Tamandua tetradactyla: one gene and its partners. The protein of the gene in region 4 interacts with the protein of the main gene of each other region in a biochemical or structural test. Links are inferred from orthologs where the notes say so. Each region holds a gene or a part of one and is shown on either strand. Other genes may lie near its edges. The genes, in order: AXL, PTPN1, EPS15 and GRB2.

What was found.
Region 1: the proteins of GRB2 (region 4) and AXL form a complex in vitro, tested with the Homo sapiens proteins (2 studies listed by BioGRID, with this or other methods). The link is inferred for Tamandua tetradactyla from reciprocal best matches to the Homo sapiens genes GRB2 and AXL.
Region 2: the proteins of GRB2 (region 4) and PTPN1 form a complex in vitro, tested with the Homo sapiens proteins (2 studies listed by BioGRID). The link is inferred for Tamandua tetradactyla from reciprocal best matches to the Homo sapiens genes GRB2 and PTPN1.
Region 3: the proteins of GRB2 (region 4) and EPS15 form a complex in vitro, tested with the Homo sapiens proteins (2 studies listed by BioGRID, with this or other methods). The link is inferred for Tamandua tetradactyla from reciprocal best matches to the Homo sapiens genes GRB2 and EPS15.

What each region holds. Positions count from the first base shown.
Region 1 is NC_135342.1:22,537,786-22,545,685, forward strand, and holds the start of AXL (tyrosine-protein kinase receptor UFO), read right to left. Parts: upstream 3,008-7,900; 5' UTR 2,684-3,007; coding exon 2,620-2,683; intron 2,454-2,619; exon of another isoform or gene 2,302-2,453; intron 1,672-2,301; coding exon 1,446-1,671; intron 1,131-1,445; coding exon 1,030-1,130; intron 602-1,029; coding exon 425-601; intron 1-424. UniProt on the Homo sapiens protein: Receptor tyrosine kinase that transduces signals from the extracellular matrix into the cytoplasm by binding growth factor GAS6 and which is thus regulating many physiological processes including cell survival, cell proliferation, migration and differentiation.
Region 2 is NC_135327.1:2,307,396-2,315,216, reverse strand, and holds the start of PTPN1 (tyrosine-protein phosphatase non-receptor type 1), read left to right. Parts: upstream 1-4,811; 5' UTR 4,812-7,821. UniProt on the Homo sapiens protein: Tyrosine-protein phosphatase which acts as a regulator of endoplasmic reticulum unfolded protein response. Mediates dephosphorylation of EIF2AK3/PERK; inactivating the protein kinase activity of EIF2AK3/PERK.
Region 3 is NC_135328.1:170,658,169-170,665,939, reverse strand, and holds the start of EPS15 (epidermal growth factor receptor substrate 15), read right to left. Parts: upstream 3,003-7,771; 5' UTR 2,840-3,002; coding exon 2,807-2,839; intron 1-2,806. UniProt on the Homo sapiens protein: Involved in cell growth regulation. May be involved in the regulation of mitogenic signals and control of cell proliferation. Involved in the internalization of ligand-inducible receptors of the receptor tyrosine kinase (RTK) type, in particular EGFR.
Region 4 is NC_135332.1:15,811,361-15,818,974, forward strand, and holds the start of GRB2 (growth factor receptor-bound protein 2), read right to left. Parts: upstream 3,017-7,614; 5' UTR 2,804-3,016; intron 2,236-2,803; exon of another isoform or gene 2,102-2,235; intron 1,689-2,101; exon of another isoform or gene 1,492-1,688; intron 1-1,491. UniProt on the Homo sapiens protein: Non-enzymatic adapter protein that plays a pivotal role in precisely regulated signaling cascades from cell surface receptors to cellular responses, including signaling transduction and gene expression.

The DNA of each region.
Region 1 (7,900 bases), on a different chromosome or scaffold from region 4:
GGAGAGGAGACCCCGGTGGTTCCGGGGTCCAGGTTGGGGTCAGGGGCTGACAGAGGGCACCAGGCCCACACACGGCTCAGAGGACATCCGGGACAAAGAAGTCTATTCACAGAGAGGCTGGGCTGAATGGAGGAAGAACGAGCAGAGAAACACACAGAGATGAGCGAGACACCCAGAAACAGTGAGAAAGAAATGGAAAGATGGGGACGGAGATGGGTGGCAGAGAGACAGAAACAGAGAGAGATATACGGACAGAAACAAGGAGGCAGATGGGGACAGGGATGCAGAGACAGCGACAGAGACAAAGAGATACAGAAACAGAGACAGAGATACACAGAGCAGGCAAGAGGGCCCGGCAGACACGCAGAGGCAGTGAACCATGTCTGCACCGCCCCCTTCCCTGGCTGGGCCGGGCCGGGCTCACCTGCGACTTGCAGAGTTTGGTGGGGGCCTTGGTGCGAGGCCCAGGCCACGGGAGCAGCGTCCTGCAGCCAGAGTAGGTCCACGGGCTCTGGGGGTCCCTGGGCCCGGCAGGTCAGGTTAAAGGGGGTGTCGGCAGCCACAGCCCTGTCCTCAGGCTCCTCCAGGAAGTAAGGCAGGCCTGGGGGGCGGGGATGGCAGGCAGGGGTCCAAGCTGAGGTCTCTGAGCACCGCCCCCCCAGGTGTCTATGTTGGAGGCTTCAGGACTGTCCCCATCTGACACACTCCCTGCCAAAGACCCTGCCTCACCCTCAGATGTCTGACACCCTGCCCCCCAGGTGTCTTTCCAACCCTTAGGACATAAGGTCCCAATGTCTGACCCCTCCCCTTAACCTCTGACCCCCCAAATCTCTCCTCCAGAATGCCTGACTCATCCTCACCTCCTTATCTGAGTCTACAGAATGTCTTGCTCCCACCATGTCTGGCCCGGCAGGCAGACCTATCATCCCTGTCCCCTCCCCTGGCCAGAATTTATGGCCCCCCAGCTTCCCGATCCCTTAAAATCGCTGACAGTCCTAGGCTAGATGCGCCCGGACCCCCAGGGCTCACCCTCCAGCCCCACATAGCCAGGCCGGGACAGGAAGGCCCCTCCTTCCAGGACCACCATACACTGGTATCGCCCAGCATCCGACAGCTGCAGGGACAAGATCCTGGTGGGGCAAGACGGGGGCAGAGAGGTGCAGGGTCAGAGCTGGGCACTGGGAGGGGCTGGTCAGAACCGGAAGAGGGGCCTCTGGACTGGGAAGCGGAAAGAACCGTGGAGGAGGTTCTATTATTATCCCATTTTACAGAAGAAGAAAGTGAAACCCAGAGGTTCTGTGACACACTTCATGCCCCACAGCTAGGAAGTGGTCAGGCTGGGATTCCAACCCAGGTGGCCGGGCTGCAGGCGGGCTGTGATAGGGGTAGGGGTCGGGGACGACAGGGACCAGGAGGGGTGCAGGGGCCGGGAAGAAACTGGACACCTGAGTTGGCTGACCACCTTCCAGTCGTCCTCGCCGTCCTCACCCAGGGGCACCTGGATCTGGGTGCTCTCCGCCAGCTCCAGGATCTGTCCGTCCTGAAGCCAGTTCACCTCGGGGGGCTCCTGGTGAACGTGGAGCTCACACTGCAGCGTCCCCGTCAGGCCCCGGGCCCCCGTGATGTTTCCTGGGCTCCTCACAAAGGGATCCGCTGCAGCAGCCTGTGCACCTGCAGGGTGGATGGGACAGGTTGGCTGAAAGGCCCCCACTTCCCTCTGCACCCCTTCCTGCCCCCCCCCCCGCTGCCCACCCACTGCCAGGACACCCCCCCCCCAAGCCCTCAGGCCCACATAGTTGTAGGGTGACCTCAGAGGCCAGTGGAGGGTGGAGGCTCTGGGGGCAGGATGGGCGCCTTCCTAGGCACTGGGGTCCGTTCAGAAGGAAGCGGGGTCTGGTAGCCCCCACAGCCTGGAGGCCCAGCAGGGCCAGCCCTGCCCTCACTTGGGGTCTCCGGAGACCAAACAGCTCAGGCTTCGTGGATGGAGGGGAAGAAAAGGGCAGGGGAGGGAGAAGAAACATAAGAGAGACAGAGAGAGAAGCCCGAGAAAGCCAGGCACGGGGTACCGAGACAGAAAGAGAGACTTTCCTGAGAGTGAAGGGAAAAGAGGAGAAATACACAGAGGGGGACTGCAACAGAAGAGAGACACACACACAGAGAAATCGAGGCAGAGAGAGACTCAGAGATGAATAGGGAGAGAGAAAGAGCCAGAGAGATAGGGCTCCTTTCTGGAAGATTCCTTCGGGTGCTCCCCAGCTCAGCCCCTCTTCCCAGGACCCCAGACTCAAATGCAGCCCCCACCAGCTCCCTCAGCTTTCGCCTTGTCCTCCCCTACTCCTTTCTGTCCGTGTCCTCCTCCTTCAGTTTTTGTTTCTTGTCCATGTTCCTCTCTTGAGTCTCTTCCTCCCCCTCTCTCTTGGTTTGTCTCGAGTCTCTGTCCTTCCCTGCCTCCCTCTCACAGTCCGTTTCTCTCGTCCGAAGGAAACACTCTGAGCCAGCCCAGGAATCGCCCCCAACACCTGCCATCCACCCCCCTCTCACCGCTCCTGCCCCCCATCCCCCATGCCCCCCCCCCCCCCCGCCACCGGTGGTCCTGCCCCACCGGCCCCCACCACTCACCCCTGGGGGCCGCGCACCCCCAGCACCAGAGCGCCAAGCACCAGGCCAGAGGGACCCTGCCCATCCTCGGGCCACCGCAAAACCGATGCCGAACTTTCCTCAGAAGTTGCTGGGCACCCCGCGGGGGAGGGGGCAGGGACAGGCAGTCCCCGGCCCTCCCCCCAGCTCCCGGGGTCTGGCACTGGCCGCCTGGCACGGTGGGGGCCCTCGGCCGGCTCTGCTCCGGCGCCTTCCAGGCTCTCCTGCCTCCTTCTCTTGCTCCCAGACTTCGGGAAACCCTTTCCCCGCCCCTGGCTCCCTCCTCCCCCTGCCTCCGCCCACTGCTCAAGCCCAGGGGGCCAGCTGGTCAGTGAGGGGTTAAGGCGGAGAGGAGGGGTCCAGCCCGGTCTTAAAGGGGCCCTGGGGGGAAGCTGAGGAGGGGGAAAGAGTCCCTTGTGGCTGCGCCTCTCATCCTGGAGCGGTGAGGCAGGGAGGCTGTGTGTCTCCGTGTCCCAGCTCTGGGCGCTGTCCCTCTGGGCTCTCTCTGTGTCTGGTAAACATTCCTCCACGACTCCCCTCCCCCAGCTGTCCCCCACCCAGCCCAGCCACAGCCAGGCCTCCCCAGGCCCTTCACTCCCCCTCACACTCAGAGCTCCTGGGACAAGGACACATACGCACGCTCAGACACGGACCTGCAGAGGCTGGGACAGGCAGAGACACGCAGGGGACCCAGGACTCGCAGGGGCACGCTGTCCGCCCACAGGCACGCTCAGGAGAGCCGGGTGAGGGACTCAGCTCCCGGAGAAACCTCTGCAGCGGGGACACCTGGGACCTATGGACCCTCAGACACATAAGGTGCAGACATGCATACGCACACGTGCACACACGTACACACACACACACAGTCAGACATACCAGAAGACAGGCATGCTCCCAGGTCGGCGAGCATTCGAGTCAAAGGCGTGGGAAAAACACCCAGACACACATATAGGCAGAGAGCCTAGAAACATCGACAGGGACAGGCAGATGTGGAGGGAAATGGAGTCACAGGTGTACCTGGAAATACTGATCCACGGACATGGGGAAACTTGAGTGTGTTCAGCTACACAGAAACGCTCACAGACATGCCCGGGACCATTCCTGCAAGGAAGCCAGAGTGGTGTGCAGGTAGCAACAGCAGCTCCTGGTGTAAGCCCACCCCCCAGCCCTGGGCCCTGTACCTTCCCCGACAAGCCCCCTCCTGCCAACAGGCCCTGACCCCATGAACTGTCTGTTCCAGGGAAACAGAGGGACTGGACTGGTGGCTCCTTGGCTCCATCTCCACCCCCTCAGTGCTGGGCCTCCCCAGAAGTGTGATGGAGCAGACAGAACCCCAGACAGGGAGATGGAGTGGGAGTGGGAGTGGGGTGGTCAGGCTCCTGGATTTGCTATGCGGCATTGGACTTGGATTACAACAGCAATGTGGGCTCCGTGGGGCGATGTCTGGGTCTTCTCTGGGCCCTTCCCTGAGGACACCTTGGTGCCCTGTGGTCGGCATAAGACCAGGCCGGTGTAGGCGGGTGAAACCCCTGGGGCAGTCTAGCCTGCTGGGTAAGATCTGAGCCTTGGCATCCCCCAGACATCGGGGTTGGAACCCCAGCTCTATCATTAACCACCAGTGACCTTGGGCAAGTGACTGCTCCCCGGGCCTCGGTTAGTCCATCTGTAAAATGGGAGCAAGCAGAGAACCCCCCCTCAGCAGGCTGGAAGGGCAGGCAGATAACCTAGCCAAGGCACCCATTGTCCTTAGCAAGTGGGACTGGCACTGACAAGGCACCGGTGGCTCTCTTGGCAGCTCAGCTCTGTGCTCTGGGGTTGCAGGCTGGCCTAGCGGGATTGTGTCCCAGAGGCGCAGAGCCGGCGCCTCTGTGTGTCATCTGTGTCCCTAGGTTTTGCATACAGTGGTCTGCGGGAGAGTGGGCTGGGAGCAATTTCTCTGCTCCCGGCCTCTACTGCACACCTCAAAGTCCTACCTATTTCACCCCCATTTCACCTCCAATGCCTTCCACCCCACAGGGTCCAGCCCCAGCCTCTCCCACCCGGGCCCCTGCCCTGTCCTCCCCTCTTGCTCCCTCCACCCTGCTTCCCGCCCACCCCGCAGGCAGAGGGCTGTTTCTGAAATACAAGACTGGGTCTCCTGCTTAACCTTGGCCTCCCTCACTGCCTGCGAGGTGAGCTCCCAGCTACTAGGCAGGTCCAGCCTCGCTGAGCTGTCTCATTTATGTCCCATTTCAGCTTCTGTCTTAACTTCCAAGGCTGACCCTTCAGGGCAGGCCCCACCCTGCAGTCAGTTCTCAAGTCCTAGGGTCAGCCTCACAAACCTCTCCCCATCCCTTTACCCCTTCCCAATCCCTTCCTGCTGGGGTCCTGCCCTCCGGGCTGCCCCTCTCTCTCCAGCCCATCTCCCAACCGGGCCGTGTTTTTTCAATCCCCAGTGAAACCCTTTCCCCCTCTTGCCCAGCCTTCCACGACAACCCCCCAAACTCTTTATTGAGGCCTTTTTTAAAGTCCCCTTATCTCCACTGGACACTCCCTCCCCCCTCCCCAGGCTTCTTTCACTTCCTGACCCAAACAGCCTCCTCCCAGGCCCCAGAGCCTCCCCAGCCAGCTCCTCAGCCCTCTCTGGAGTGGCTGCCTGCCCCCCACCCCCAAGTCTAATCTAGGTCCCATGTTGCTCACTCTTACGCCCTGTCCTTTTCTTTGGCAACACTGCATGGGCTATCATGACGTATTTATTGGTGTGATTATGTGTCTCATGTCTGTCTCCTCCTGCTGGTCTCTGGGATGCTACGAGGGCAGGGATTGGGTATCTTCATCCCCACCACCCTTTAGAAGGGCTGCCATAAATGAATAATTGTGGCATTTTTGGAGGGGCAGGGGGAGTTGCAAATATGTTCAAAAGTCTCTCTTCACTTGTGTGAATCTGCTGGGGATTCCATATTCTAGGGGGAAGAGAGACGACAATCATAAATATTCATCAGGGGGGTGAGATGGGCAGTGAAGAAAAATAAAGCAGGGGGAGGATGGGGAAGGGTAGGTGTGCCATTTTAGAGAGGGCAGTAGACTGAGATCTAAAGTAGATTAGGAAATGAACCATGTGGGGGAAGAGTGTTTCAGGCAGAAGGAACAGCCAATGCAAAGGCTCAGAGGCAGGAGCTGCAGGAAGACAACTGTGGCCTGAGCAGATGAATTGGGGGGGGGGGTGGAAGAGGAAGGAGGTGAGATCAGAGACCAATCCTGTTGTTCAGTGTCTTGGCCTGGCGTGGACTTGGGCTTTTATTCTAACTTGATGGGAGCCACGGGGAGGTGGGGGGACAGTGGGGGAGCAGGGGAGAGAACAGGTTTGATTCATATTTTTAAAGGATTCCTCTACTTAGGCTAGAAAGTGAAAGGTTGATGAGGAAGTTCCTCACGGAGAGATTAGGAACTGGACCATCAAACTTCAGCATCCCAAACTATGGGACCACCAGTGATTGTGATGTGACACAACAAGGGATCTGGCATCTTTTGGGCAATTCCCAGTTCACAGGAGGTCCTGGAGTGAAGGACACTTTAAACAGCACCATAAAGATGCTGTCAGCCAAATCCAGAATATGAGAACGTGTACACAACAAAAGACTGATTTCCGCCGTCCCCCACCGAGAAATAACATAAAAAAGGTTGGAGGAGGGGAAAAAAGAAGATAAAATCGAAATAAAAAAGGGTGAGGAACTAATTTAAAAACCCAAAGTGACGTTTCAAACGAGAGCTCTGTGTGGTGGGCCTTTCTTTGCATCCTTATTTGAGCAAGTCAACTCTAAACTACATTTATGAGGCCAGTGAGAACATTATATTTGTATTTGATATTACAGAATTGACAGCTGTGATTGGCATGACCACAGGATGTAGTTTTGATTTTTAAAGTCAACCTTGGCTAATGATAAATGCATTATCCAAGTATTAGGGGAAGGGGCACTGATGTCTGTAGTTCCCTTCAAAAAGCATGAAAGAGCTGAGATAGACGGTCAGGTGGCTAGAAATGTGAGAAAGCAATGTAGCAAAATGCTGGTGGGAGAACCTGGGAAATGGCACATGGGCATTCCCCGTAAAGTCCTTCTATTTTTCTTTCTCTGTGTTTGAAAATGTTCATAATACAATATTGGGGGCAGAATGTTCTTAGCGGTTAGAGCTGCATATTGATTATTTTCTGGGAGGTGCTTGAAAATAATCTTAAACAATGTGATAGGTGAAATCAAGGGACAGATGAAATAAAAATAGCAAGAAGTTGATGAGTTTTAATGGGGGAGGGTGATGGGGACAGGAGGGTCATCGGGCCGTTCTCTCTCCTTGGGGTGTGTTTAAAAACTGCCATGCTCTATAGCAAATAAAAAGACGCCTCTGGTTTCCCGGACAAGAGAAGACAGAAAAAAAGGGCGGTGGGAGAAGCACGCAGAGGGGCTGTAAGTCTCTGCTTTCGGACTCGGGGAGTTCCCAGGGCGTGGGCTGGCTTTTCCCAGGCCTGCAGCCCAGCTTGGGTGAGGCTGGAGCCCTTCTCCCTGCACCCCCTTCCCCGCCCGGGCCCAGCCCTCCCCCTCCTTGGCCCCCACACCGGGCTCCACATCTGGTGCTGATGTCAACAGCCAGGGTGGGTGGGGACCATGTTTTTCGGCTCCAGCCCGGCCTCGGGGGAGGGGACTGGGAGGGGTTTCAGACACGGCCACAAATCCACACGCGTCACAAACCCACACGCAGGCCAGAAACCCTTTTATTGCAACGGGAGGACCTTCAAGTCACAGAGGGGCCAGGCCCAGCCTCTCCCTCAGCCCCCCTGAGCCCCTTCCGCTGGGTCTAGCTGGGACTTGGACTCTGGGGCTTGTCTGGGAGAAGAGGCTTTGTGGGGGGCGGCCCTGAAGGCCCCTGTGTGACCCAAATCCCCTGGATCCCAGCGCCCGGCAAGCACAGCTGCAGACCGGGCACGTGTTTGTGTTTGGGAGACTCTGGGACAGTGGAGAGTTGGGGGAGCAGGGCTTGAGGGCTGAGGGTGGGACGGAGTGGGTGGTGACTCTCCGTGGGAGGAAAATACTCGGGGGAGGGGCTACCACTACCACGGCGCCCCACGTCCACTGTCCTGTCCGTGTGACTCAATGGCTGGGGAGTGTGGCGGGTCGTGCCTGGAGAGGGGGCGGCGCAGGAAGGGAGCGGGCATTAGGGCCGTGGACAGGAGTGGGGTCTCCGTGTGCCTGTGTGGTGGCGAGAGCCAGGAAGGGCTGCTCTTTCTCGTGCC
Region 2 (7,821 bases), on a different chromosome or scaffold from region 4:
CATTCTGCAATCATCTTCAAGAAACATGGCTACCGAAAACAGCTCTACATTTTCAGACAGTTCCCTCCAGCCTCTCTGTTGCATCTTAACTAAAAAGGTGGTATCTGTATAATGCGTAAGAATAATCTCCAGGATAACCTCTTGACTATGTTTGAAATCTCTCAGCCACTGACACTTTATTTTGCCTCATTTGTCTCTTCCTCCTTTCAGTCGAGAAGGTTTTCTCAGTCCCTTGGTGCTGAGTCCCAGCTCATTCTAGGATTTCTGTCCCATGTTGCCAGGAAGGTCCACACCCCTGGGAGTCATGTCCCTTGTAGAGTGGGGAGGGCGGTGAGTTTACTTGTCGTTTTGGCTAAGAGAGAGAGAGGCCACATCTGAGCCACAAAAGAGGTTCTCTTGGGGTGACTCTTAACCTAAACTTAAGTAGGCATGGCCTATCCTCTGCAGGGTTTGGTTAATGGTTTTCATTATTTCTATTGTATATACTGAACATGTTTTAACTTTCTGAGGAATAATTTCCACAAATGATTAAATCTTTAGTGTTTAAGAATATTTGCATTTTCTAGTGATTACTTCAATACTGTTATCTTTATACTGTATCCTTAGTTCCCTCAGTTTATACTGTTGCTGTTGATTCCCAGCTGTGAGCAGTATTAATATTAGCTAGTGATCTCTTCATTCCCTTCCAGCATCTAATTGGAAGTATTCCCAGTTGATATCTGTAAAACTATTCAGCAAAATTATTCTACTTTTCAAAAATGCTGCTTGTTTGACTCCCCTTTTCCTGATAGTAGTGCTCTACATTGTCAGGTCTGATAGCCATTACATAGCATGATGCCTTCTTGACACTATACTGTGTCTTGGATCCACTAGTAAATATTATATTGCTCACTATACATTCTTTAAATCTCCCTAATCATTTTGAATCCTGAAGCTCATTCTTCAGTAGGTTCTTCAGCATTTTTGTGTTTTTGGGGTCGTGATGGGGCATTGCACTCACCTGTGAATTGGAATCTGCAGTATCTGCTCCCACTTTAGCTGCTGACACAGATTGGCCTGTCACACTTTCCAATGACGACCTGGTGGTGATGTGGGGTTCTGTTGATCTCAGAGTCATCATCACCTGTTGTCTTTATTCACTTGTCACACAAATACTTCCCATGTGGGGACTGAATAAGCTATTGGTGGTGTGCCCCCACTTACACGTTCAGAATCATAAGGATATCGTGTCTCTAGTTTAATTTTTGTCTGTGGAGTTGGCTGTGTTAGTTTCGCTAGCCTTGTTGCTTTAATTCTTTTTTTTTATGAAGAGGTTCAGGGAGATTGATAAATTATGCTGCTGATGGCACCATCTTCCTGAATCATGAAGTCAGACTAATCTGTTAAAAACATGTATCTGATTGTATCATTCCTCTCTGCTTTTTTTCCCCCCTACTTGTTTTTAAAGTAGAATCTTTTTTTGATACTCTCAATTATGGAAAACTTTAAATATATTGATGTAGAGAGAATAACATAATGAACCTCTGTGTATCCATCACCCAGTTACAACAATTATAAACTCATAACCCATCTTTTCTCATCTCATTACCCCTCCCAGCTCTGAATTGTTTTGAAGCAAATTCCAGCATCATAAATAATTCTTTTAAAAGAAAAAAATTGAATTCTCAGGGACCAGAGGAGCCAGAACCACCTCTACTTTTGATTTGGGGAGGAAAAATATCAAGGAGAGAAACGATATAATCCAGAGGTCTGGAGCATTCACAGTGTGGCCTCTAATTATCTCATGGTAGACTCTGCTAGGCACATGCAAGAAAACATCAAAAGTATTAAATTGTTTCTGTTCTCATGTTCATAAGCAGATTTGTAAAACAAAATCGAAACGTAGCTCTCCATGACAGCTACCTGATTTCTAAGGTCAGGCGAAGCAAATTTCGTTTTACGTATATTTAGTTGAAAAGCAATGCTCAGAGTAACTACTTCAAATAGCATCTACCAAGGCAGTGTTTACTCATCCCTGCCTGAATTTTTTCAAAGAGAGAGCAAGTTCTCAAAGTTGGTTTGACTCTTGGTACTTTCCTATGCAGTCATTATTTTGTTTCCACTATCTGCCTCTTGCTGTTTATGTTTTCTTCCTTCCAAATCCATAACTTTCACTTTGGTTCTTTCTGAACTGTTTAGTGTACTCATTCATTAAGTCTTTATTGAGTGCCTGCTGTCTGCAGGAATTGCGCTGCAGGGAACTGTTTAACGTACTCATTCATTAAGTCTTTATTGAGTACCTGCTGTCTGCAGGAATTGCACTGCAGTGAAGTGTTTAGCATACTCATTCATTAAGTCTTTATTGAGTGCCTGCTGTCTGCAGGAATTGCGCTGCAGTGGTGAACAAGCCAAATCTGGTTTCTTTGAGATGGACAGCTTATACTCCATCACTTCTGGAAAGTCTTTCGTGCCCTGGTAGGTGGAAACAAGAAGTTTAGAAGTTGTACATGTGCCCTGGGCACTGGGACTTGCGTCACAGGCTGTTGTAGTGTGGATGTGGGCGTGCTCCCTTCTTTCTGACCTTTGGTGTGATTAATGCAAGGACTTATAGAGTGACTCAAGCTTTTGACGTTGCTCCAGTGGAGAATGGCCATCTCTTCTCTACCCTGACTCGGGGCCCTCACCATTGCTGAGGTTTCCTTTCAAGCAACAGTGCCGAAACAGGGTGGAGAAACAGCGTAGACATAACTGTACGATTTATTTCCTCATATTGACGCCAACCAGAGTCTGAAAGGAGCAGCAACAGGTCACCAGTGCCTGGAAACTCACTCTGTGTTTCTTCTCCACCAGATGTTGGCTGTCCCGCAGTTTCTCCTGAATTCATTACTGCGGTTTTACTAGCTAACCTTGGTTCCTTTCCCTCTTCCTGTAGGTTGGGTTTCCCCTCTGAGCATTACTTTCTCCTCAGTAGTATTTGTTGGTGGCACAGTAAGTCTTTCCCCACCATGTGGGAACCCACTGAGGTCAGGTCCATTATTTAACTACCTGCCTGGTCAACACTTGGCACACAACTTGGAATGCAAGGACAGAGATTGGTTGGAAGTATATTGTGCACTTGGTTGTGAAGGTGAGCCCAAAACTTGGCTATGTCAGCTTATGTAAAAGTTAGTCTTAAAGAGTATGCTTAGGTGGTAAAACCAGTTACCTTTGAAAGTATTTTATATTTTTGGCTTTTAAACTATCCTGTCCTCTAATAAACTTATCTTAGTGAAATTTTATAGTTTACTCTGAGTAATCTTGTGAAGACTGATTTGTTCAGCACAATATGGAAAACAGACATTCTAAATGATTTTTAAGAAAAAAGTATATTTTAATTTTTATTAATAAAACCAATCAACATACAGCATGAACATTCTTAACATGTGAACATTCCATACTTGATGTACAATCAGTGACTTACAGTATCATCACATAATTGTATATTCATCAACATGATCATTTCTCAAAACATTTACATCACTCCAGAAAAAGAAATAAAAAGAAAAAAGAAGAAAACTCATACATATCATACCCCTTACCCTTCCCTTTCATTGACAACTAGTATTTCCCTCTACCCAATTTATTTTAACATTTGTTCCCTCATTATTTGTTTATTTTTAATCCATATTTTTTACTCATCTGTCCATACTGTAATAAAAGGAGCATCAGAACTAGGTTTTCACAGTCACACAGTCACTTTGCGAAAGCTAGTACAAATATTCTTGATGAATGAAAATATGACTAAATTTTAGTGGTTTTGAAGTTATCTTGATTTTTTGGAAAGTGTTTATCCTAATTCTGTACCTAGTAATGTGTATATGGGTTTTGGTTCCTGTGCAGTTTTAGTTGTGGTATTAATGCTGAGCAAGCCCTTTTAAGGAAGGATTTTGTATCTGTCAGACTTTGAATGCTTCTAAAAATTGATCATATGTTATTAGCAGAGGATCACTGCCTGCTTCCATAGTAAAGAAGATTTATTTTTTTATGCATTCAGTTCTAAGAAGGCAGCTGTGATCTAAAGACCATGAGACTGTTGCCCAAGGTTTATGAATGGAGAGGGGGGAGAGATAGAACTCTTGAACAAAATCTTGTTTTATTACATATATTGAGGCGGTAAGGTGTACTAATTTTTTGAGATACTGCTTTTTTAAGCTGGGTATTATTTGAAGAAGCTACTCTGTTGCTTTTCAACTAAATATACTTAAAATTTGTTTCACCTGATGTTCAAAATCACGTAACTGTCATGGAAAGCGATGTTTTTTGTTTTTTTTTAATGTAACATCTGCTTATGAACATGAGAACAGAAATGATTTAATTAATGTTTTAGTGTATTTCGCTACAAATTTATTCCCAAATAATACACATCAGTCAAATACAAAAAAGTAAGTAAATTTGAACTAGAGTATTATAATTGCAGAAATTCTCTTGTAGTTTTAAAATATTCCCTGTATTTTAATCTCTTGTATTCATGATTTTTAATTTGCTAAATGGTTGCCAGAATGACTAACCTACATCATCTTCTGTTACCTGTTTGTCTTAAAAACTCTAATTGTAATGGCTCATCCATCTATAAAAAAAAGTAATTTGTTCATTCTGAAATCAGAATTACCAGATGCAGCTGCATTTTGTTACTGTTTGAGTTTAGTGAGAGGGAAGAGGATGTAGCCTTTTGAACTACTGCAATATGCAAACACAAAAATTAAACTGAGCATGGTTATGGAGCCCGTACGCTGACTGAACCAGAAGAAACTCCTATTCTTAGCGTGGTATGTGGCTTTAAAGGCAGTATAAAGACTGTTGAAGGAAAATAAACTCCAGATGGATTAAGGTCAAATGTTAAAAAAAAAAATGCAGAGGAAGAAGACTTTCTAACTTTAGAAGCAGTAAGGGAAGTCATAGTGGAAAAAGGTCAATAGGTTTGAATACATAAAAAATAAAACCGCTCTAAAGCTTTCTTTTGCACAAGTAATACATATTCACTCTAGAATAAAATTGAAAAGCAAAAGAAAATTAAAACCACTCATTATCCTATTAAGCAGTGGTAGCAGTTCTGTTATAGCTATATTGACAATTTTGTGATTGTCCTTTCAGACTTTAACTTCCCATACATAAGATGTGTCAAATGTTCAGACAAATAAATTTTTAAAAAAGTGGTTTCCAGTGAAGACAAAGAGTTAATGACTTAAATATATATGTGAAGAACTTACATGAATAAAGAGGAGACTGATATTCCAAAGGATAAGTAAGCAAAGGAGAGAAAGAGACAAGTCACTCTGTATGAGGTGTCTAGCAGACATTGAGCGCCTGGGAGTCAAGTTAGGTTTTTGTATTAAAGTTGTGCTTCCTGTGCACATAAACAGCTGTTAGAAGGGACAGATAAGCTTTATATTGTTGTTTATATATTTTATTGGAACATTTTGAGGTATAATGACCGAGATATAAATTACAATGTGTGGAAAACATTTTTCTTTAAATGGGCTTTCAGAAGATAATATATAAGAATGTATTCATGAATTTGGGCATCTGCAGATGTTTCGTAAGCAAGAACCAAAAAGCTGACTATAAAGAAGAGTATTTATTAATTTAATTACATTTCAGTGATGAACTTTTGTTCCTCAAAAGACACCATAAGTGTGTGTGGTAGGCTATTTGCATAACTATCCAGGAATTCCTCCCTTTCTTGTCTGTATGTTCCTTTGAGTGTGGCTCCCATTGAGAGGTGGAGTCTCTTTCTTCACTTTTGAATTTGTGCTTGGCCATAGCCCTAACTCTCTGGCCAATAAGATCCTTAACTTAAGTGACTTAAGCAGAGACCTCCAAAAGTAGTTGCATGTTGGGCCTTGCCCTCCCTTGCTTATCTTTTAGAATTCTGTAAACACTAGCATGTGCACAAGCCCAGGCTAGCCTGTTGGCTGGTGAGCAACAGAAGACCTGGTTAACCTTCATCATCCTTGCTGAAAGCCAGCCATGTGAGTGAGGCCATTGGACCACCTGCCAAAACTGCATGTGTGAGCCCAGCCACCATCACACGGAACCAAGTCAAGCCATCCCACCTGAACTCAGTCCAAATGGCCAACCCATAGTAGGATCATGAGCAAACAAGTAGTTATTGTATGCCCCTGAGTTTTGAGGTGGTTTGAAACGTAGAAAACACTAACTGATATATAAAGAATGAAAAGCAAGCCACAGACTGGAAGATATTTGCAAGATGTATGACCATCAAAGTGCTTATGCCCAAGATATATAAGGAATGCCTGCATATCACCAGGAAAAAGACAGACAGGTTAATAGAAAAAAGTGGACAAATAACTTGAGCAGATGGTTCACTAATGAGAATACGTAAACCATCCAGTAAGTGTATGAAAAGGTATGTACCAGTATTACTCATCAGGGAAATGTAAACTAAAGTCAGTGAGATAACTCTGTATGACCAGTTAAAATAGCAAGTGTTGACAAAGATGTGGGATCAGCTGGAACTCATCCTGTTGGTGAGGGGCAAATTGACATAACCACTTTAGAAAACTGTTTGGCTATACCTACTAAAGCAAATCAATATACATCTTCTTTGTTGGCTCCCCCTTAGCTATATAGACAAGAGAAATGTGTAAGAGGTGGGCCAAAAGACATGCTCTATAATTTTCTTAGCAGCATTATAATAGCCAGACACTGGAAACAACCCAGATCGTCCATCAATAGTAGTCAAGTAGTCAGGATATATACGTTGTAATATTACTTTGTAATACAAGGAAATACTGTGCAGCAGTGAAAAAGTGTGGATTCCTCCTACACGCAGTGACATGGATGAATTTCTTGATCATCACATTAAGCAAATGAAACCAGAAACAAAAGAGGACATGCTTTAGGAATCCATTTACATGAAGTTCAAGCAGTCATAACTATCATATCAGAGGTTAGGAGGGTGTTTACCTTTGGTAAGGGGGTAGTGACTGGAGAAGGCATAAATAGAGCTAATGGGTACTGAAATATTCTCTTTCTTGGCTTGGGTTGTGGTTGTATCAGTGTGTTTACTTACAAACATTTGTCAAGCTGAATACTTATGATTTGTGTTCTTTTCTGTACTTTCTATTCCTCTATGTGTTTTTCTGTAGATGTTATACCTAGTAATTAAGTTTATTATTTTTTTTAAAAAGCCTAAAGGCTGCCCACGGTGGCTCAGCAGGCAAGAACGCTTGCCTGGAATGTCAGAGGACCCGGGTTCTATTCCCGGTGCCTGCCCATGTATTTAAAAAAAAAAAAAAAAGCCTAAAGTTTCAGGAAACTGATAACATTAGAAAAACAGTATTGAAACCCATCTGAGTGTGGTGTTTCTAAGTTAGAGTAATAGTCGTCATTGTAATTAATGTAAAGTCTAACTGGTTAAACACATATATATATATATATTTTCTTGGAGTTTCCAACTTTTATTTCTGTGAAATTCTGCTCTTCAGGATACATGCTTTATTTCTCCAGCCCAAAATGCAGTGGTATTAATAAATTGTTCTCACTTTTGTATTTGCTTATTTATTTCATCCTGTCTGGTGTAATGCGCACTATAACTTTGTTAGAGTTTCTAAAACCTGTCAGTTGTTGGGAGTTTCCCCTGGATAGATGTAAACTTTGAGCTGTGTTTATTTTCATCATAAGAAAGGTGTAGCCATTCTGTGTTGTGTAAAACATTTTGGTGGGGATTACCTTGTGATTAGGTTCCCTGAGAACCTGCCTGTCACCAGGCCCTCCGTTGGCTCTTCCCCCATTTTAATTCATCTTGTACACCTTACCCACAAACCTTATACCCTCCTCCCA
Region 3 (7,771 bases), on a different chromosome or scaffold from region 4:
AGAAAGGTCCTTAGATCTGCTAGCTCAAACTCCCTTACTAGAATGTAAACTCCACGGAGGCAATAACTGTCATCTATTTTGTTCACTAGCATATCCTCAGTTGGCAGAGTTGAAAATGGAACTAGAGTTTCATTACTCTAATATTCTTATCCTCTCTAGAAGCTAATATACAATTTACTTTAGTTTGGGGGTTGGGAGATTGAGGGTTGGGTGGCAAGCAGGGGAAGAGGAAGGAAGGCATAAATTAAAATATTTTTCACATTTCCCTCCCCCGCAACTGTCAGTTGCGCTTAATCAATAAAGGCAGAAAATCATAAACAAGACAATCCCAACACAGTGTCTAGCACATAATACTTAAATATTTGTTAAAATGAACCTACCTCAAACCCATCATTATCTCACAACCAGAGGCAGAAACTAATTTCAGTATCCTTTTAATCTTTATAACTGCCATAGAGTGTTTTAGAATTTTCAATCATTCATTTGACAAACATTGACTAATCATTTTCTTCAAGATGGGCACTGGGGGAGAGAGAGGAATTAAAAGCTACCCTTGCCCTGAAGGATTTCTCACTCCAGTATGCCTACATGTTGGGGGAGGGGGAAAAGGGTGAGGAAGGCAGGGGGTGACATAAATATATCAATAATGAATGTGAGACCAGATTGCATTATCTCAAATTAAGCAGTTAAACTCAAGCAGTTAAAAAATGTTTTTAATTAAAAACCTACATATCTGCAAAGTTCTACAATAACAAGGAGGCACATTAGTGTATACTAACAATTGAAAAGGTTCTTTTTTACTGGGCCTTTACAATATATCTCACTGCCTTTCAATATTCTAAAATCAAAATAGTCTAAAGTGATTTTTTCGAATTATCAATATAAATGAACCATCAATGTAGTATGTTCTCTCATCTTTGAAACACTGAGGAACAACACTCGTTCCTAATTCATCATTTACTGTGGGTACAGGTTAACTCCTAAATATATAACTACAAGAACATAAATCACTTAGGTGACTACAAACCTGATAGAACCTGAAGCAAATCACCAAAATGAATGAGAGAAAAGAGATATTTTAAAAACAGTATTACCCAGGGAGAAACTAAAGTTTACACACAACTAAGAAGCAAATCTATAAAAGTCTTCAAAAGAACAAAAGTATCAGAGGAGAAAACTCCTGCCAGAATTAGCCAAGAGAGCCAAAGAGCAGTAGCCTGCCAAAAGGGATCTTGTTTAGTACATGTCACTAACTACACTCAGAAAGCTAACACCCAAAAGTCAATGTTGCCATTCTTCAAATTTGAATTTCAGGCAGACCCTTCCAAAGAGATTCAAGACCAAGACTCTAGCCACCACATTCCATATTAAAGGGGTCTTCCCTGCTATCTGCTTTTCAAATCAGGATAACTAACACCAAATAAATGCAGAAATAAACATTCACTTATGAGACTGTTATTTCCTGCAAACTGAAGTTTGTTATTTTACCTGCAGCACTTGTTCATTAGTAACTCCTGGTTCCTGGGAGAAGACATTTATCACTAAGTTTCTGTTGTGGAGTACTAGGCACAAAATAGCAAGGCCTCTTGTTTCTACACAGAAGATCCTACTGCCTTATTAAACACCGACAAATCCAAGCCAAGAAGACTACAAGGTAACAGAAAAATTCCACACGGTGGGCAGGAAGGTTGGGCCCCAACATGGAAGTATATGGCCCTGTTCGGGTCAGAGGGAGAGGAAGGGATTGGCAGACACCTGTCATCTCATCATACCGGCTATCATACTGGCCAACTACAATTGGCTTTCTTTGACAGAGAGGGAGGAAAGAGGTTCTCTGAGTAAGTGATGTTGGGAGGTCTTCTGTGAAGCACAAGGACTGGTCTCTGAAGGAAGCAAAAAGGCAAGAGGAAAAGACCTTAAAGAACAGATTTTGGTGAAGATTCCCCAGGACAAGTAATCTCAGTGAATGTTCCCAGGACCAAGACTAGAGGAAGCAAACGCTTGTTTCAAGGCTGTTTCCCTCTTGTACGCTTGGAGAGGGATTAAGTGAGAGCCCACCTGGCAGGGGTGGAGGTGGATTTGGAAAGGAAAAGACTCGAAATCGGGATCTGGCCCAGAAGATAACCTGACCGGGAGGGGAAGAAACTCAACTCAATAAGGAGTTAGCAGAGTGAGTACATTGATAGGATGAGGATGACTGAAGAAAACTGCTGGGGAGGAGGGTGATTTCATTGGACTCCAGTAGGCAAAAAAAAAAAAAGCCGACTTAAAGGGGAAAGACTAGTTTCGAGTGAGCTTGTGCGTCGGGAAGGTAATTCTGAGGGGGGAAGCGCGCTGCCTTGCCAAGAGGGCGAGCCTCGTGCGGGGCGAGGGCTGAAGCAGGGGGTCAGGATGGTCCACGCGAGCTCAACACGGAGCTCACCTGGGAGTGCGTCTGGCCTGGAAGAAGGAAACTTTCTTGGGTCGGTGAAAGCTGACTGGAGTGAGAAGGGCCGGGCATGGGTTGATCCAAGCGGGGGACACGGTCCACTCAGCAGCGGCGAAGAGGGGCCGGTCGGGGGGCGAGGGGGGGGCACTGAGGGACCCGGGGCGGGGTCGCGGCTGCCGTCGCTGAGCTACCGGCTCGGGATGGCGCCCTCCCCCAGTCACTCACACGCTGCTTCTCATCAACACCGGCCGCCAGGCTAGCGAACCTGGAGAAGCTGCCCGGGTCGGCGAACCTAACGACAGTGGGGGAAGAAGTCTGGAGCCACGAATAGGCCAGGCACCGGCCGGGGGACCCCGGCGGCCGGGCGGGTGGCGTTACCTGTGTCAGGGAAAGCTGGGCCGCCGCAGCCATGGTGTTTCCATCATGCACAGGAGGGGAAGGAAGGACTGGCGGACGGAGACTCGGGCGGGGAGGAGGCGGAGGGAGCGGCCGGAGGCGAGGCCCGGGCAGGCGGGCGTCTACCCCAACTTCGACAACTTCCCTCCTCTTGCCCGCCCCGCCCCGCCTGGCCCCGCCCCCCGCCCGCCCGGCGAAGGCCGCGGCGGAACCCAAACCTCGGCACTGGAGTTTGAGCCGCCAGACCGGAGCTGCCTGTCCTCGGGGCTGCCTGAGAAAAGCCCGCGCGAATAGGAAATTAAGGCAGACGGGGCTGCGGAGTGGGAGGGGAATCCTGATTGTCCTGTGATCTTTGGGCAGGTCACCTACCTAGTCCGGAGCTTCTGTTTTTTGAAAAATGGGAGAAATTTATACCCACAGTCCAGGTAGCTTGTGAGGGCTAAATGAGATAATAATGGTAAAGAATAACAGCACTTTGTATGTCCCAGGCTCTGTGCCAGACGCTTTAATTTTTTTAATTGTATGAATGAGGGAACTGAGACGCAAATAAGTGTCTTGCCTAAGATCATACACCTGAGTAGATAAACTGGATTAGAATCCAGGTCTGACTCCAAAATCTTTCATTTAACCATCTACTATTGGAGTATGATATCACTGTCTCTCCAAGTCAAAATCTAGGTGAGAGGGGGAAAAAAATCCTTTCCTCGCCTGCTGGCTGCCGCAAATGGATTGGCCAATAAAAGAACACAGCCCTGCTTAGATGCCTGCATCACCTCCTAACTCTTGCTTTAATCTATCTAGCAAACTCCTCCTCATTCCTTCAGACGAAACTCAAGTGTCAACTCCTCTGGAAAACTATTTCCTGACCTCTTCAAATCAGAGTTACTCTCTTCTTCAGTTCAACATTTCTTCTTTTAGGAAGTCATCATCACCTGAATGACTGTTTATATCTGTTTTCTTGCTAGACTGAGCTCCTCAATGACAACGGCTGTTTCTGATATATTTCTGTCCTCAGACCTTAGCATGTAGTAGGTGCTCAGTGAGTGTTTGCATGTCTTAGTCCCTGCCTGCATTAAATGTAAGACTTCCTAGACTTTCCCATGCTGCCACCTTCAGTTGGAATAACCAACCAGTCATTTGAAACCCTCATCTTCAAAGGTCTGGCTTATATGCCATCTCCTTCAAGAAGCCTTCTAGGAATTCCCCACCCCACCTCTTAATTGCTCTGATACGATCCTTATTACAATCTGCCTTGTTTTTAAGAGTTAGTTGAGGGCTTGTCTACACCCCACTAAACTGAGGACATATGGCCGACTCTCTACCACAACCACTCACAGTTTAACCCAGCCCAGAGAGCGCTTCGATAAATATCTTTGCCCAGAACTGGTCTCCCTTTCTCAGTCACTGTGGCTTCCCATGACAATTAACCACAACTCTATCAAGCCCACACCCCTGATACCATTATCATAGCAGTCCTCATTTGATGCCCTAGGAGCGCCAATTGAACAAACCCATGATGGAGCTGACCCCACCTAAGTTTTTAGACCTTTTCCACTATAGGCAAACCATCCCAAAAATGTCCCCAGGGACACCTAACTTTGCTCAGACCCCTTCAACAAGGTCCATCCATTAAGAGCAAGTAATACAGGTCTGTTGTGCAATCACTTATTTAACAAAGAGTCTTCCTTGGCCTCTTTTTGCTATTTTTCTTTTTGCCTCAAGGGTGAAGGGGAGACACTGTTTTAAATGACTCTGCTTTGGTATGTTTATCAGCTAGAACCACAACTGATGTCTCTATTGGAATTTTCTATTTCATGTTATCACATTTGAGCTTCACAGCCACCTGAGAAGATAGTGATCATCATATGCACCTTACAGATGAGGAAACTGGGCATAACAGAGACTAAAGGGATTTTCCCAGTCACACTGCTAATAGCCAAAGCAGTGTAGTGTAGTGGAAAAGCAGTGCAGTGTGATACTGTGAACTAGTAATTGTATACATGGATGATTTGTATGGTGTGTGAATATATCTCAATAAAATTGCATTAAGAAAAAAAAAGCAGTGCAGTGTAGTGGAAAAAACAGTGCTCAGACATCAGAAACACCCATTTTCTAGCTGTAAGACATTAAGGTAGTTGTGAAGATAAATGAGATAAGATGTAGGAAAATGCCTAAAGCTGTAGGTACATGAATTTAGTTAAGAAATCTGAAAGTGGTAGAGCAACTTGATTTTGGGAGTTTACTTTTACTTGCTGTTCCAGTCTGCTAGCTGCCGGAATGCAATATACCAGAAATGGAATGGCTTTTAAAAGAGGGAATTTATTAAGTTGCAAATTTATAGTTCTAAGGCCATGAAAATGACCTAATTAAAGCAAGTCTATAAAAATGTCCAAATTAAGGCACCAACAAGAGGTTACCTTCACTCAAGAAAGGCTGATGAAGTTCAGGGTTTCTCTCTCAGCTGGAAAGACACATGGAGAACATGATGACATCTGCTAGCTTTCTCTTCAGGCTTCTTGTTTCGTGAAGACGTTTTCCTTCTTAATCTCCAAGGGCGTCTGGCTGCATAGGCTCTCATGGTTCTTAGGAGTCTGCTCTGTTGCTCTCTCTTTCTCCAAAATGCTTCCTCTTTTAAAAGATTCTAGTAAACAAGTCAAAACCCACCTGGAATTGGTGGAGTCACAGCTCCCTCTAATCCGAGGTTAATAGCCACAATTGGGTGAGTCACATCTCCATGGAGATAATCTAATTGAGTTTCCAGTGTATAGTACAGAATAGAGATTAAAAGAAATGGTTGCTCTCACTGGATCAGGATTAAAACATGACTTTTCTAGGGTACATAAATCCTTTCAAACCAACACACTTGCTGTTCAAGAAGTCTCCTCCAAACCATATAAGATACAAGATGTTATTCTGGTTGAATAGAGTCGAGTCCCTGGTGTACACACTCCTAGAAAAGGAGTGTGCAGTAGTAACACTGAAATAGAATATTGAAGTCATTTAGTATGTGAGTTCAGACAGAGCATTTAAATTATCTGAACTTCAATCTCTCATATGTGAAAATTAGCAAATCACAGTTTGCTAATCACAAAATTAGCAGTATGGAAGTTTTTGAGGAAATATAAGGAATTATTATTATTTAATACAACTTATAATAAGTAGAAAATGGCAGCTAATATTTGTGCAGTATTGCTCCTCACAGTTTATAAATGTTTTTACATACAACATTTAGCACAACTTCTGGCATCTAGTAGTTGTGGCGAAAGTGTTAAACAGAACTATATACATAATCTCATTTGTAATTATTTGGATCTCCATTTCATACATGAGAAAACCAAAGAACACATTTTTTATAACTAATTTGTTTAAGGAAGGATCACTGAAAGCAGATTTGGGCCTTAGAGAAGAAAAAGAAAAGGGAAGGGAAGGGAAGAAAAGAAAAGGGAAAGGAAAAAAGAAAAGAAAATGTGCTAGTTTGAAACTGTTATGTATATGTACCCCAGAAAAGCCATGTTCTTTTAATCTAATCTTGTGGGGGTAGACATATTGTTGGGTAAGACCTTTTGATTAGGTTATTTGACCCCACCCATTCAAAGTGAGTCTTAATCTACTTACTGGAGTCCTTTCAGAGAGACATTTTGGAGAAAAGCACAAATGCTTGAAGAAAGAAAATGCCCCAGCAGAAACCAGAAGGACCCACAGGAGCTGAGAGCCATTTTGAAACCAACCCAGGAGAGAAGAGCCAGCAGACGTCACCATGTGCCCTCCCATGTGACAGAGGAACCCAGATGCAGTTGGCCTTACTTCAGTGAAGGTTTCCTCTTGTTAATGCCTTAATTTGGACATTTCCATGCCCTAGAATTGTAACTTAATAAATCCCCTTTTTAAAAGCCAGTGCTGGGGTGCACGGGTAGTTCAGTGGTTAGAATTCCTGCCTTCCATGCAGGAGACCTGAGTTCAATTCCTGGACCATGCACCACCACCAACAACAACCCAAAAAAAATGCAGAAAAGCCAATGCTTTAGTGCGGTGCAATGGTGGCTCAGTGGCAGAATTCTCATCTGCCATGCCAGAGACCTGGGTTTAATTTCTGGCTGCCCATGCAGGAAAAAAAAAAAAAAATCCAATGCTTTAGCAGACCAAAACAGAAGAGAGAAAAATTTTATGAAATTTGCCCCAGGCTCCCTTCCATACTACCAATAATTTGTGCCACCAACTTCCTCCCCTCCTTGGCTCTGGATTAAATCAATAACTTGATAAGTAGTAGGGGATGGAAGCAGGTCTACAGGGGTGGGAGAAAATGGTCCAAACTCCTAAAAAGGCCTAAAACGTCTGGAACTGGATTTTTTAAACTGACACAGCAGTGATAGTTTGCAAATGTGTGTCCCAGATCTCATCAAAGCACTAGGTCATATCCCAAATCTATTTTAGGAGAGCAAAATGTAGCTAATGGAAGATATGTTATGATCTAATTCACTGTAACAAGAATGAGCTTCAAGGAGCAGACTAAAAAGACTTACCTGTTTTTTCTAGGACACTTTAAAGCCTCTGGGTCTCTAAGCCTCTGATTCCTCATGTGTACATTGTAGATAATACTTACCCTGTAGGGTGGTGTAAGGATTAGAGACAATACATAAATGGCCTATCAAAAAACCTGGCCTAAAATTTGTATCTTGGGTAGCACATTACCTAATTTAACTCATATGGCCTGTTTAGTTGAACGCTGTAAGTACATGGAATCTTGAATAGGGCATGAGATCTTGTTGGTCTGTCCAGGTTAATGTAATGCCCTGATAAATCCCAGAGTAATTTGGGCAGTAAATAAGGAAGTATTTGCAAAGTCCCCTTGGGGGACTGGGAAGAAAGGGGGAAATATTCAACTTCCCCAACTGGAGAATTTCTGATATTCTCACAAGCAGTGGGGACAACCAAATCAATAGGCTGAGC
Region 4 (7,614 bases):
TCAGCTGGAAAATGGGGATAACAACAGCACCTACCTTAGAAAGTTATTCTGTTGATTAGAAAGTACAGTCTCTGGCATAAAGTGCTCAAGAGATGCTAACTTGCAAGATCAGACCCTTTTCAAAGAGGGGTCCACATGTTATCACATTAAATCTAAATCTTCCATTTATATATAGACTTAGAAGAACTCTGAAAAATTAAGAGCTCTTTCAAATATAAACTTTAAAATTAAATTATTTCACATCACAGTCCTAACAATAGTCAAATATTTACACATTTAAAAATGAATCACATCAGACAGTCACTTATTCTACTAGGCTTCTAAATATTTACTTTGTATATAGAAGAGCTGTACTTTCGGTTGAGTAACTTTAAGCCACGCTCAGTCTCATTCTTTACCATAAGCAAGCTGCATCCTGGAAGAAAAGTTTTGGTTCACGGATCATCTGCATCAAAACTACCCAAAATTCACAGACAGATTCAGAGTGGTAAGGGGCCCTGGAGTTCTGCAATGAAAGGGCCTTTTGCCCAGAACCTGATTTTAAATAAGAGCCCCAGATGCTTCTTACACATACTAAACTTTAAGAATTACCGCTGTACAATAAAGGCATCTTAAGATTTAAAAATTTACATGCCAGACAGTGAACTACAATGTTTTGTATAAAATGAAAATAACACACATTCACTTGGCACAACTAGAAAAAAGCCATTTTGGACAAAAAAAGAAAGAAAAAGAATCTAAATGGTCATTCAATAATGCTGGAGAGTTCTTCTAATTTAAGCAGGTAACTATTAATTTCTTTTAAATTATGGTAGCTCTCTATTCTGTATTACTTCATTTCTTCAAACATAATGCAATTCTCCTGCTGCTGCATAATATCTGACATGATAACAAGAATTACTGGAAAAAATCTCTAAGTACCATGAAGTATTCAAATCCTAGTAATCCTCCCAAACCTGAATACACTTGCTGAAACTACCTAAAACCATTTATTTAAATGCTTGTTTTCATTATGAAAGAAGGCTGATTATCAAGAACTAATTTCTTTCATCTTGAGATTTGGAAAATTCTGACTATGGGAAGAGGCAACAGAGCAAATAAAGTTATCTATTTCTACCCTCTCAAAAAGGATGCTATCACAAACGTAGGGAAAAGACACTGAGAAAAAATAGTATTTCAATGGGTTAATAATAATTTAACTACCTCATCAATGGTCTAAATAAGTTCTATTCCCTTAAATTTTTCATGTCATCTTAAGGCCATTGCATAATAAGTTTAAATGATTTTCATTTTTTTAACATTAACCGTTACTCCCATTAAAAGTTAAAGTCATACAAGCCCCAAATTGACCCAATCTCCCTAAATATAAATGATACAGGGAAAAAAGCATAAGCAGGCCCAAAAGCACTATCTTAAAGCAAAGAAAACACCAGAACACAAATAACACAAGCAAACTACATTTGTGACCTAGTGGCAGTATCGATTACTTACGGATGAATTCAATCCTTTGAGCCTCCCAGTTCCCAGAGGGACAACTTAAGCTTCCCGTGGAATTCTAGCAACCCTTCTGGCTGGCTGAAGGAACACAGTGACCGCTTAAACGTTAAGGAATGGAAGCCGGAATGAGGGTATCTTCCCAAGAAAGAAAACGGAACCTTTAAATGAGGGAGAGAATGTACAGCCTACACCAAACTGCAGAAGAGGCTTTTGAGACAGGACACTAAGGAGGAAGGGGAAATAGACTGGGGGGGAGGGGAAGGGGAGGGAAGGGAAGGGAAGGGAGGGGGGGAAGTAGATGGGGGGAAGGGAAGGGGAGGGGGGAAGCAAATGACTTGCATTATACAAATAATGCATTTAGTGTCTATGCTAAAATGAAAATACCTAGAGATAGACAGGGAAAGCAATAACTGAAGAAAAAAGTGAAAGAGGGACAAGAGAGCCAAAATAGACAAATGCCAATTTCTTCATGTGTATTTCAAACTATTTTCTGCGTCCACAGAACCAAGTTAGACCTCGAGTGAACTTCAGCTCCTCTGCCAATCGTACTTTTATAGCACTTTAAACCAACCTAGAATAACTTTCTACATAAGCCGAGACTCACAATGCTTACGATATATATTCGTAGAGCTCTGCAAGTGAAAAATCCGTGTTTCTTGCCGAAATCGTTCCTGGGGCATTCCACCCAATTACCCAATTTTTCAGAGTAGCTCCCCCCAACTCCCTCCCCCCCCAAAAAAAACAGCGACAGAAATAATGGCATCTCTCCCGGCTCCGAGAGTAAACGTTCTAACGCACGGTACTGACAAGGTTGGAGGATTCCCTCATGAAATTCGGGCCCCGAACACCAACACTTGGTGACGTGGTGGCCGTGCACGTCGAAGAAGCATCACATTTGCAGCCTGCCCCGAATCCCCCGCCTCCTGGGCTAAGTCAGACTGACTCAGAAAATGAGCACCCAGCGCCTCTCGGGATTCTCCCGAGCCCCTTCAGAGCAAACCCTCAAGATAAACGTGGACTTTCAAGGAGAATCACCCCAAGGGGCCCCCGGGGTCCCAGGCTCTGCCTGAGAGCCGCGGGCGAAGGAAGACAGTCCCCAGGAAGGAAGCGTCCGAAAAGAGGAAACGTGGAGACCCGAGCCCCGGAGACTCCGCTCCTCGTCCCAGGCCTCGCCTACCCGACCCGAGATCCGCGGCCGGCCCGGCGGCCCGGGGCGGGCTCGGCTCGACCCCCGGGGTCGACTCCCGCCGCGGGGCCGGGAGGAAGAGGCACCCGAGCAGCGCCGAACGCCGCCGCCCGCACTCACCGTGGCGCAGCTGTTCTGCTCCGCGCCGGGCCGGCCCCTCCGCAGCGGTGCGAGCGACCGCCGACCCTGCTGCTGCTCCCCTAGGGCAGCGTCTGTGTCCGCCGCCGTCAGAACCAGCTTTCGTGACCGTTGCCGCCGCCACCGCCGCCGCCCGGTTGCCGAAGCACCTCAGCCTCCTCGCTTCCGCTCCTCGTCGGGGTCCCGCGAGAACATCTCCGCGTGGCCCCGCCCCACCCCGCCTCCGCGAGACTTCCCCCGGAGGAAAAGGCCCAGAGCGCAAGCGCTCCTTTTAGGCCGGGCCCTCGCAAGGTAGACACCATCTAGGTGCCAAGGCGCACGCGCCAGGCCGGTCCGCAGCAGGTGGCACTGGGAAGGCTCCGCCCCCTGGTGGCCGTAACCCTCTCGGTGCCAGAGCTAGTAAAGTACGCCGCAGACCCGAAGGTGTAACTCTTTCCAAACCATAGTCATTTTCCCTTCTCCTTACACCACAGCAAGGGAATGAGGGAAGAGGGGATACCTCTCCAACATGAAGCACGCTAAATAGAGGACCGTAACATGAAATGTTTGAGAACCGGTCCATACAAACGCTGCATTGTAAGATGAAATAACGGATTCGTTCGTTCATTAATCAAATCATGCTCCTAATATGTATTAGGTCTAAAAGATCCTACGACGGTCCCCTTGAAGGTGTGGGGAGAAAGAAGGAAATATTCAACTTCCCTATCTAGGGAATTCCTGACATTCTCGCAAGCAGTGGGGACAGTCAAATCAATAGGCTGAGCCTTCAATCAAACTTATTCCTGCAAAGGAGAAGCTAAGCCTACTTATAATTATGCCTGAGTCTCCCCCCAGAGAACCTCTTTTGTGGCTCAGATGTGGGTCTCTCTCTAAGCCAATTCGGTAAATGAACTCACTGCCCTCCTCCCCAAGTAGGATATGACTCCAAGAGGTGTAATTCTCCCTGGTGAAGTGAGACATGACTCCCAGGGATGAGCTGGGATCTGGTCTCATGGAACTGAGAAAGTCTTCTTGACCAAAAGAGGAAAGAAAGAAGTGGAACAAAATAAAGTTTCAGTGGCTAAGAGATTTCAAACCGAGTTGAGAAGTTATCTTGGAGGTTATTCTTTCGCATTATACAGATATTGCTTTTTAGTTTATGGTGTATTGGAGTGGCTGGAGGGAAGTACTTGAAACTGCTGAACTGTGTTCCATTAGTCTTGATTCTTGAAGATGATTATATAACAATATAGCTTTTACAATATGACTGTGTGATTGTGAAAACCTTGTGTCTGATGCTCCTTTTATCCAGGGTATGGGCAGATGAGAAAAAATAAGTATAATAAATAAATAATAGGGGGAGGAGAAAGGGTAAAAAATTGGGTAGATTGAAATACTGGTGGTCAATGAGAGAAAGGAGTAAGGAGTATGGGATATATGAGTTTTTTCTTTTTATTAATTTTTCTGGAGTGATGCAAATGTTCTAAAAATGATCATATTGATGAATACACAGCTATGTGATGATACTGGGAACCATTGATTGTACACCATGTATGGACTGTATCTGTGGGAAGATATCTCAATAAATATGTTTTTAAAAGATAATGAATACTTGGTTAAAGATTAAGAAAAAAGGGTATAACAATGAACAAATATCCCAGCCCTCAAGGAATTCACAGTCTGGAGGAGTAAGACAAGTAAACAATCATATAGCTATTGTTATAATTATTTGGCAAATGTTGAAGATGCTACAGAGATGGAGGGAGGGTTACTTTGCCCATCACAGAAAAGCCCTGGCTGAGAAGGTGATGTGATGATGTTTGGATTGAGTCTTGGAGGATGAGTAGGAGTTCGCCAGGCATAGAAGCTGGAGCAAGGCATTCCACATAAAAAGAACGGTGCCTACAAGGGAACTGAGGCATGAGAAAAAAGGAAGCGTTCTGTGCAAGGCTAAGTAGTTTGATGTCTGTACGTGACTAAGGGGAGTGGCAGAAGACGAGGCTTGGAGAAGTAACTCATTTTTCAGTTCCAAAAGCTCTTTCAATTAAAGGAGAGAACAGAATGCATCTGATGTTAATGTACTTTCTGGAAGCCAACAAAATAGCATTGTAATGAGACTAACCAAACATCTGATTCTGTAGAGAAAGCAAACCCTTTGGAATAAGGGAGGTTTGTTCTTTCACCAAGTATTTATTGGTCATCAACAGTGGGCAAGGTCCTGGGCAGTAAAAGTTGAACCTGACAGAGCCTCTGCTTTCAGCAGTTTGTGATCCAAAGAAACTTGCCTAGTCTGCAAGGCAGAGCAGTTGGCCCTAAGAACCAGTGAACTACATCTAGGACTGCAGAGGAAAGAAGCATTACTTGGAACTGGAACTTGAAAGCAGGGATGAAAGAATGACTGAACCAGTCAATATTTCAGATAGGCCCAGGATTTGGGGGAGAAATTAGATGCAAGGCCAAGATGCACAGCTTAGGTTTCACAGTCAGGTGATGTGCAACCTGCTCTGAAAACTTCTGAGTAGGAGATGTCTAATATGAGGGGACAGTAGAAAGTGGACCATCTATTTAGCATCTGCTTGTACTAAAATTGTAGCTCCTCTACAGCCTGGATAATATCCCTGTTTTACAGATTTGGAAACTGAGGGTCAGAGAGGTAACTAACTTATCCAAGGAAACCCAGATATTGCAGTCCTAAGATTTGAGCCTGTCTTATTCTAAAACCCATGTCTCTCCCCACCATGACACTCTGTTCTATATTGGTGGCCAGTAAAACAAAAATGAAAGGGAAGGACTTGGCAGCTGAGCCAAGAGGAAGAGGGAAGAGAGACAGTTACTTATTTCGTGGAGGCCCTGGGTGACAGAAGAAAACAAATTTACAAATCAAGAGTAGCTGATGGGGCTGGGGGTGGGGGCCATATACCGGGGTGCGGCAGGGGAGTGGGTAAGGAGGTGATGATGATGCCCTAAGTGTGGAAATGTGGAGTCCAGCACTCCAGGAGACATCCAAGTGGAAATATCCAGTATACTGATGAAAAGCTCAATGCATTCAATGATTCTCTGCACCATTTGCTGAGCATCAATTTGACTGAGAACAGAACAACCCCTCTGGGAGTTTGCAGCTTAAAGGGTATAGATGTCCCTCTGGGACTATAATAGGCTATTACTGGTGGTTTTGGCAGCCCACAGGAGGGGACCTGACCTAGTCCAGGATCAGGGAAGGCTGAGGAAGTAGGGTTAAGCTGAGAGCTGAAAGGAGAGTATTCAGTAGGGTAGCCAAACTGAGAGGGAGAGACTGTTTTAGGCAGACTTCACGTGCAAAGATCAGTAAGAGAGAACTCAAGGAAGCCAGTATAGCTGGGACAAGGAGAGAAAATGGGAAGAAGGATGTGGCATGTGGCTGAAACAGTTAGAGCGGCTCATGTGCCTTTTCAACATTGCTCAAGACTTGAGACTTGATGCTGTGAGATACTGAAGCAGGCGTGACCAGCGGTCAGATTTCATTTTCAAAATACTTTATCACTCTGGCTGCAGAATGGAAAATCGATTGGAACTAAGATACAGAGTGCCTACAAGATAAGATCTCCAGTCCTTTGCAAGACTTTTAAAGAGCTGGCCTCTGCTTACCAGCGCCCACCCGCTTAGTCCCCAGCCAACGCTCCCCATCCCCACCCCCATTCCAACACACACTTCACCAGTACTAAACCATTTGTGGTTTGCGGAAGATGCCATGATCTTTTGAGGGTCCATATCTTTATACTAGCTGTTTCCTCTGCCCGGTTGGCCTTCTCCCCTTTGTTAGGTCCCCAAGTCAATTTTAGAGCTCCTTCTCCAAAATTCCTGCCTTACCTCCAATCTCATTGCATTAACGTTTATTTGCTTCTTGGTTTCCTAATAGTCTCCAGGCTTCAGGACAGATACGACCATGCCTTTTCACATTTGTATTGCCAGCACCCAATACAGTGAGTAGCACAAAATAGGGTAAATGAAGTGAATAAATGGATGGATGGATGGATGGATGGATGGGTGGATAAATGGATGAATAAATAACAGAGATACAATGCTGTGGCTGTTTATTTTTTTGCACAGTGGTGATATTTGAAGCTAAGGAAGTGGCTGATATCTCAGCAAAGGTTAGATGCCTAAGAGAACAGAGAAGAAAGTTATATACTTCCTTTGAAAATGCAGCATTAATAAAACAGATTCTGAGTATGCCTATGCATTTGCATAGAGAACAGTTTTGGAAGAGAACATTTAAAAATAAAAACAGTTATCTTGAAATGGTACCAATTGTGGATGAATTTTTAATAAAATCTTAAAGCAGTTACACTGTCAGCTCGATAATTTGTTTTTCTAGACATAGAAATTTGAGAAAATGTTGCCCAAGATTGTTCAATGCAGAGAAAAAAACACAGGAGAGGCATAATATTTGGAATTTATGTATGTGGCTAATGTTAATTAGGGAGATGAAAGTGGAAGAAGGAGCAAGCTGTGAAGTAAAAGTCACACCCTGATATGAAAACCTGTTGTAACTATAGCAAAACTTGCTAATCACAGACTGGTCATCTCAGTCATTTCAGAATAATGAAATTAATCCTCAAAAAGTCTCTGGGGACAACCAAAGCAATAGGGTGAGCCCCCAGTCTTGGGATTTGTTCATATGAAACTTAACCCTGCAAAGGATGGATTAAGCCTACTTAAAATTAGGCCTAAGAGTCACCCCCAAGAGAATCTCTTTTGTTGCTCAGATGTGGCCTCTCTCTCCAGCCAACACAATAAGCAAACTCACTGCCCTCCCCCTCTGTACATGGGATGAC